2 linked regions of the Canis lupus familiaris genome follow. The protein of the gene in region 1 interacts with the protein of each later gene in a biochemical or structural test. Links are inferred from orthologs where the notes say so. Each region holds a gene or a part of one and is shown on either strand. Other genes may lie near its edges.

Region 1 (4,167 bases):
GTCCCGCCGGTCGCTGGTTCCGTCTGCCCTGGCCCAGGCTGTCCCCCAGGCCCGCGCGGCGTCCCCAGCGCCTCCGGGACCCCGCGACCCGGGCGCTCTCCGCCTCCCGCGTGCTTCCCTCGGGCACAGCGTCGCGGCCGCGGGCGCTCGGCGGGCCCTCGCGTTCGGGTCGGGGGGTCGCGGTCGCGGTCGGGTCCCGGGGCCGCCGGGAGGCGAAGGCTGCGCGGGCCACAAGCGGCCCGGCAGCTCCCCGCCGACGCTTTCAGACTTTCCCTGATTCTGTTACCTTGTGAGGATTGTCCTGGGCCTTGGTTTTCCAGAAACAAACGGGAAAGAGCGTTTCCACGACAGGGCAGCGCGGGGCTGCGGACCGGGTGCCGCCCCCCCCCCCCCCCCCCCCGGCGCGCGCGGGCAGAGCCTCGGGGCCGACACCGCGCTCCGGGGGTCCGCGAGCAGCCGCCCCGCGGGGGGAGGGCGCCGGGGCGGGGGGCCGGGCCGAAGCGCCGAAGCGCCGAAGCGCCGCCCTCGCCCACGCGGGCCTGCCCCTCGACCCCGGGCTCGGCCCTCAGCCCCCCGCGCCCGCCCGCCCCGCAGCCGCGAGGCCGCCCCTCCCCCCGCCGGCCCCCCCACCCGGGCCCGCCCCAGCATCCCGCCCCGCCCCGCCCCCCCCGCCCCGGGCTCGGCCTCCCCGCGGGCCGCGCCGCCCCGAGGCTGGCGAGGAGGGCGCCCCCGGAGTCCGGGCGGCCTCCCCGCGGGCTGGAAGTGCCGCTGCCGCCGCGCCGCGCAGTCGGGCCGCCGCCCCCGCCGCCCAGGGCCCGCGCGGCCGCCCGGACTACACCTCCCAGGGTGCCTCTCGGACGCCGCCCCCCGCCCGCCCCGCCGCTCCCTCCGCCCCCTCCGCCCCCGGCCCTTGTTGTGGCCGCGAGTGCGGCGGCGGAGTTTCTCAGAAAGTCTGCAGCGCCCGGGCCGCGGACGGCAGCCCCCGAGAGCGCGACGCGCCGGACCCTGCCCCGCGCCCGCCCGCCGCCCCCGCCGCCCCCGCCGCCCCCGGACCTGCCCGCCGCCCCCGCCGCCCCCGCCGCCCCCGCCGCCCCGGGCCTCCGCCTCCCGACGCCGGGCGCAGCCGAGCCGGGGGCCGAGCCGGGGGGCGCCGCCGGGGCCGGGCCGCGGGCGCGGGGGAGCGCGGGCGGCGTCGTCCTGGGCCGGCGCCCGGGGAGGCCCGTTCCGGGGGCGGAGCGCGCGCGGCAGAGCCCGGGTCCGCGGGCAGGAGCGCTCCGGGCGCCGGCGGGACGGGCGCGCTGACGAGGCCCCGCAGCCCCGGCCCCGGCCCCGGCCCCGGCCCCGGCCCCGCACGCGCCCCGCCCGCCCGCCCCGCCGCCTGGGGCCGCCGAGGTCCTGCGGGCGGCGCGCACCATGAGCGGCGGCGAGGTGGTCTGCTCGGGCTGGCTCCGCAAGTCCCCGCCGGAGAAGAAGCTGAAGCGCTACGTAAGTGCAGCGGCCGCGCCGCCCGGGCCCCCCGCCCCGCCCCGCCCCGCCCCCGCCCGCAGCCCAGCGCCCCGGGGCGCCCGGACCCCCGACCTGCCGCCGCCCCCACCCCCTGGGGGCACAGCCGAGGGGGCGCCCCCGCCCTCTGCCCCCCGCCCGGACCGCAGCCCAGGCCCGCGGAGCTCGGACGGCCGCGCCGGGACGGCCGAGGAACCGGCGTCGCGGACCCGCGGGGGACGAGGGCGGCGGCCTTCGGGCCGGGGGGGGCGGAGGGGACCGGGGACGAGGGGCGGCCGGGCGCCTGGGGTCCGCCTCCAGGGCCGTCGGGGGGCCGGGCTGCGGGCGTTTGGGCGCCTCGGGCGCGCTCTCCGGCGGGGCGGGGCGGGGCGGGGCGGGGCGGGGGGGCAGCCGAGGCCGCGGGGTCTCCGCCTTGGACGGCCTCGCCCGGGCCGCCGGGATCCCGACGCGGCGGCGGCGGCACCGACACAACCTGCGGAGGAGGCGCTGCGCTGTTTAGCTGCTCCGAGAGCATTCCTGGAAAGAACCAGCCTTGCCACCCGCGCCCTCCTCGGGGCCCAGAACCTGCCCCCCCCCGGGGTCCCCGCTGCGCCCTCCTCGGGGCCCAGAACCTCCCCCGCCCCCCCCGGGGTCCCCGCTGCCGCCCTCCTCGGGGCCCAGAACCTCCCCCGCCCCCCCCGGGGTCCCCGCTGCGCCCTCCTCGGGGCCCAGAACCTCCCCCGCCCCCCCCGGGGTCCCCGCTGCGCCCTCCTCGGGGCCCAGAACCTCCCCCGCCCCCCCCGGGGTCCCCGCTGCGCCCTCCTCGGGGCCCAGAACCTTCCCCCGCCCCCCGGGGTCCCCGCTGCCGCCCTCCTCGGGGCCCAGAACCTCCCCCGCCCCCCCCGGGGTCCCCGCTGCGCCCTCCTCGGGGCCCAGAACCTCCCCCGCCCCCCCCGGGGTCCCCGCTGCGCCCTCCTCGGGGCCCAGAACCTTCCCCCGCCCCCCGGGGTCCCCGCTGCGCCCTCCTCGGGGCCCAGAACCATCCCCGCCCCCCCCCGGGGTCCCCGCTGCGCCCTCCTCGGGGCCCAGAACCTCCCCCGCCTCCCCCGGGGTCCCCGCTGCGCCCTCCTCGGGGCCCAGAACCATCCCCGCCCCCCCCCGGGGTCCCCGCTGCGCCCTCCTGGGGCCCAGAACCTCCCCCGCCCCCCCCCCCGGGGTCCCCGCTGCGCCCTCCTCGGGGCCCAGAACCTTCCCCCGCCCCCCGGGGTCCCCGCTGCGCCCTCCTCGGGGCCCAGAACCTCCCCCGCCCCCCCCCCCGGGGTCCCCGCTGCGCCCTCCTCGGGGCCCAGAACCTCCCCCGCCCCCCCCCCGGGGTCCCCGCTGCGCCCTCCTCGGGGCCCAGAACCTTCCCCCGCCCCCCGGGGTCCCCGCTGCGCCCTCCTCGGGGCCCAGAACCTCCCCCGCCCCCCCCCCCCGGGGTCCCCGCTGCGCCCTCCTCGGGGCCCAGAACCTCCCCCCCCCCCCCCCCGGGGTCCCCGCTGCCGCCCTCCTCGGGGCCCAGAACCTTCCCCCGCCCCGCTCACCCGCTGACTCTTTGGCCTTGCCCTCTGCAAAGGAGAAATGGCACATTTGTCCCGGCATATGGAGCCAATGGTGTTTTAGTGAAAAGTGTTTTCAAAAGCGAATGTATGCCTCCTTAGATACAGATTTACTCCTGGGGGCCCGCGCCTCCAGTGAAACTGGCCTCTCGTCCGAGGGGATCTACACCCAGTGGTAGAATCCAAGTTGATTTTGTGAGTCACCCCTTGGATAGTGAAGGGCATGTTTAACCGCGCGGACTCAGCGGTGAGTCCTGGTGCACCCTCTGCCAGCATCTGTTGCTCACGTAATTCTCATTCAAGAACTTGATGCCGCACATCCTAGAAAGACTTCTCCAGAAATCTTGACTCCTTTCAAATCCTGTCTCTTCTCACAGCTTCCTGAACGTTCTGGTAAAGACGCTAACTAACTTTATTTCAACATTTCTGGGAGACAGTGGTTTATTTAGTTCTTCTATAAAGAATGTTGTGTGTGTGAGAGGAGAGGACGGAGGGAGACAGGCTATTTGTTTTCAGAGGCGCAGCCCCGGAATCCCGTAGACCTCGGTAGGTCCTCGGAAGAAACTGCAGGACGGGGGATCCCTGGGTGGCGCAGCGGTTTGGCGCCTGCCTTTGGCCCAGGGCGCGATCCTGGAGACCCGGGATCGAATCCCACGTCGGGCTCCCGGTGCATGGAGCCTGCTTCTCCCTCTGCCTGTGTCTCTGCTTCTCTCTCTCTCTCACTGTGTGCCTATCATAAATAAATAAAAGTTTAAAAAAAATTAAAAAAAAAAAAAAAGAAACTGCAGGACGGTACGTTTGCAACACAGGTGGTGGTTATAGGGGCGTGATGGATTCTTTTACATGGTTGGTTGGGTCTCTCAAAAGATACCTAGCACTAGCCTAGACCCCCTAAGATCAGAAAATACCCGTAGGAGAGAAGCCTGGCTCTTGGGCTCACAAGTTAATGTGGTATAACCGAGGACGAGAATCAGCAAAAAAAGATGGTCTTAGCAAGGACCAAGAAAATGAAAAGTCCCAAATAAAGGAATGTGTATTATTTCATTCAATCATTACAACAGGTTTATGAGATAGGTACTACATCTGC
Region 2 (3,500 bases), on another chromosome or scaffold:
GCTTTCTTCATTCTAACAACACATGGTTTAATTCCTAGTCATTACTCCTCACATCTGTGTGTGGAGGAGGAAATATTCTTGTGATATAATTATTCATCCACCACCTCTTAGTCAAAGAACTCAGAGTGAGAAACATTAACCCTCTCTCTCTCTCATGAACTGAGAGGCTGGATGTCAGGTTTGCAGCCAGTCACCTGGGCCTGTGGAAAGAGCTGGGCTCTCTCATCTGGGCTGCACCACTGTCTCAAGTTCCAAGAGGAGCAGAGAAAAGGATATAACTCAGGGCTTCAGACTCTAAAGTCTAGTGTTTCAGACCCTTAACAAATGCTAAATGTTAGAACTACAATTAGCTCTTAATTATCTTTGCATGACAGAAAGCAGATGTATAAATAAATAAAAATGATTTGCTTTGGAATATATTAGTCTACGTTTCTGCAAGAGACGTAGTAATGATTATGGTAATAATCACAAGAAGCTGCAATGCCTCAACAGCAGGGAGAGACTGTGGCAGAAGTCAAGGCTGACCCTTTTGGAGAATTCACCATCATGGAGGAAATATAAACCATAATTCCTAGTTGAAAAGCCAGAGTGCACTTCATGCAAACCAAAGGCACCAAGGAATGCCCTTCAATGTAGCCATTTACCTAGTCCAATCTGTAACCAGGGCCCTTAAGAAAGAGGTTTGACTATAAAATTTATTAAATAGAGCAAAGTTGCATTAAGACCTAACAAATTTAGAATTTGTGATCCATCACTATTGGCCTGACCTAAAATTTCCTATTGCCTAACCTATGAAAAAAAAACAAGTTTTAGTTAAGGAAAATTAAGATTTTAAGCAAGATTGCAAGGACAATGCTAATGAGACCAAGCTACTTTTGAGCGCTTTAGAGGCGCAGGTGCATACAAATGGTTGACCCCTATTTGTAAGTCCTTCCTACCTATTCCTTAAAATACCCATTCTTCCAGGCAGCCCAGGTGGCTCAGTGGTTTAGCGCCACCTTCAGCCCAGGGTGTGATCCTGGAGACCTGGCATCAAGTCCCATGTTAGGCTCCCTGCATGGAGCCTGCTTCTTTTCCCTCTGCCTGTTCTCTGCCTCTCTCTGTGTGTTTCTCATGAATAAATAAATAAAATCTTTAAAAAAAAGTACTCATTCTTTCTTTTTTTTTAAGATTTTATTTATTTATACATGTTAGACACAGAGAGAAAGAGGCAAAGACCTAGGCAGAGGGAGAAGCAGACTCCATGCAGGGAGCCCAATGCAAAAATACCCATTCTTTCTAAATAGTAAAGTGGCCTCTCAGTTATTACGCAAGATTGGATTTATGAACTTAAAGCACTAAAGCTGCATGCCTTTCAAAATGTATTGAATGATCCAGACCAATATTTCCTGTCAATGAACCGACAGTAGGCTCCACTGTACAGGTTTCCACGGCTCCTCATGTGCAGGTATCAGCGTTAATTTGCACACTTTCACATGTGGTCACCATGCCTGGTATGTGACTTGCAATCCCAGACGTGCTGACCACACACAGTGCACTCAGACTTGGGGTTTCTGAGCGTGGGGCTGTGTCATGCTTGTGTCTGGACTGACTCACTTCCTCCTGGGTGCTTCACATTAATGAGATTTTGCTGCTACGGTCCCTCACCTCAACCCCCTCGGCTCTGATCTGTTGCTGTCAGTTTGCTGCATTACAGTGCACGGAGCTGGCCCTTCTTTTTGTGCAACCACAAATGACTTGTGACTACAGCAATGACTTGAGATTTTAATTTTCCTCTGAGCCTTCTTCAGATATGTATCAGTAGTAGAAGAAGAAGTTCAGATTTAAACCCTAAGACAGATGTGGACAATTGAGGATTCTCCATTCCTTCTCTTGTCCTACTTCTTTGCACAAATACTCATCGAATGCCCACTGGGTATAAGGTGCTGTTAAAGGCACAAAGATGAAATAGATTAAGATCCTGTCCTTCCAGGGGCACCTGGGTGGCTCAGTGGTTGAGCATCTGCCTTCTGCTCAAGGCATGATCCTGGGGTCCTGGGATCGAGTCCCACATGGGGCTCCCCACAGGGAGCCTGCTTCTCCCTCTGCCTGTGTCTCTGCCTCTCTGTCTCTCATGAATAAATAAATAGTATCTTAAAAAAAAAAAAAAAAGATCCTGTCCTTCCAGAAGCACTTAGGCTAGAGGGGGAGGCAGATGGACATATACATAACTTGGCCACAAGCCAGCGTACTGAGGAGGTATATACATGGGTCACAGGAAGGAGATGAATTGCTTCCAGCTGATAAGATGCCTGGGCCCCTTGGCCGCCATGCTTCTGAGCAATAGGTCACATTCAAGGGGTCACCTCATGGCTTTAGCAGTCTGAGCCGGGAATGATCGTACCTGACGGAGATGGAGAAATCCCCTGGAGAGCTCTGGCTGGCCCGGATGATGAAGAAACCAACCTCCTTGCCCATAAGTAAGTTCTCAGCCTGGTGTCGCGAGAGGCCTTCATGAAACCATCTATTGGATGAGATAAAACCAGAGAGTCTTGGTGAGATGCCAGAGTGATGGGAAGGGGAAGGGGAAGGGGAAGGGGAAGAGGAAGGGGAAGGGGAGAAGAAACGACCCAAAGGGAAAGAGGGACTTTGGTCAGTAGAGAACAGGAAGAGACAAAGGAGGGGGCTGGGGCCTCTGAACCAAACATGCTCTAGGCAGTTTTCAGACAAGGCAAGTGAGCGTTCCCCTGACGCACCCACTTTGTTCCTTCCCTCCAGGAGAAGTCTTTCTTGCAGTTGGAAAACCTGAATCATGGAAATGTGCCACTGCACCAAAATGGGACAGTGTGGGAGTGACTCACTGCGGGAAGTGGCCGCCTGCTGGCAGCTATGTGAGGGATGTCACTAGGAAAGAACTGCAGGGACAGATGATGTGCCAGGAAGACAGGAACCCCTTCAGGCACTGGGGGACCAGAGCTGGGAAGCCTTGGGCTCACACCCAGGCTGGGAGATCAGTGGGCCCCCTTAATGCCCAGAGGTGCTTGTGATCTGGGTGGTGTGGAGCCAGGCTAGCAGCAGCAGAGAGCAGCGTCAACACAGCCAGCTCCCAGGACCCCCCTCAATATCCAGGCAAATAATCCTTACTGTGGAAAAGAAGAAACAGAGGAGAGATTCTTCTTTCAGGGGAGCCGTCAGGGTGGCAGTGTCTGGAAGTGTTGTGGCAGGTGGCATAGCATACATGCAAAAGGTCAAGTACAATCACAGGAGCAAGGCAAACAGTGGTTACAGCCTCAGGGCAGGAGGCCAGAAACCTCTCAACCACAGAAGAGCAAAATGAGTGTTTGCAATCACTCAGCAGCCCTAAGTGGGATGGGTCCCATTTCTCCAAGGTGGCTCTCCTATTGCTGCCACAGGAAGGCTAGTATGTCCAATCCCTTGAAGGTGAATGTCTGACGCACTTTGGATTCCTTTGTGAGCAATATCCTGTGCTCTCTAGAATTTAGGAACCTGGACAGGAGTGG

Evidence for each region.
Region 2: the proteins of GAB1 (region 1) and GRAP2 form a complex in vitro, tested with the Homo sapiens proteins (2 studies listed by BioGRID and IntAct, with this or other methods). The link is inferred for Canis lupus familiaris from reciprocal best matches to the Homo sapiens genes GAB1 and GRAP2.

What each region holds. Positions count from the first base shown.
Region 1 is NC_049240.1:839,956-844,122, reverse strand, and holds the start of GAB1 (GRB2-associated-binding protein 1), read left to right. Parts: upstream 1-1,367; 5' UTR 1,368-1,413; coding exon 1,414-1,485; intron 1,486-4,167. UniProt on the Homo sapiens protein: Adapter protein that plays a role in intracellular signaling cascades triggered by activated receptor-type kinases. Plays a role in FGFR1 signaling. Probably involved in signaling by the epidermal growth factor receptor (EGFR) and the insulin receptor (INSR).
Region 2 is NC_049231.1:26,125,560-26,129,059, forward strand, and holds part of GRAP2 (GRB2-related adapter protein 2), read right to left. Parts: intron 2,504-3,500; coding exon 2,384-2,503; intron 1-2,383. UniProt on the Homo sapiens protein: Interacts with SLP-76 to regulate NF-AT activation. Binds to tyrosine-phosphorylated shc.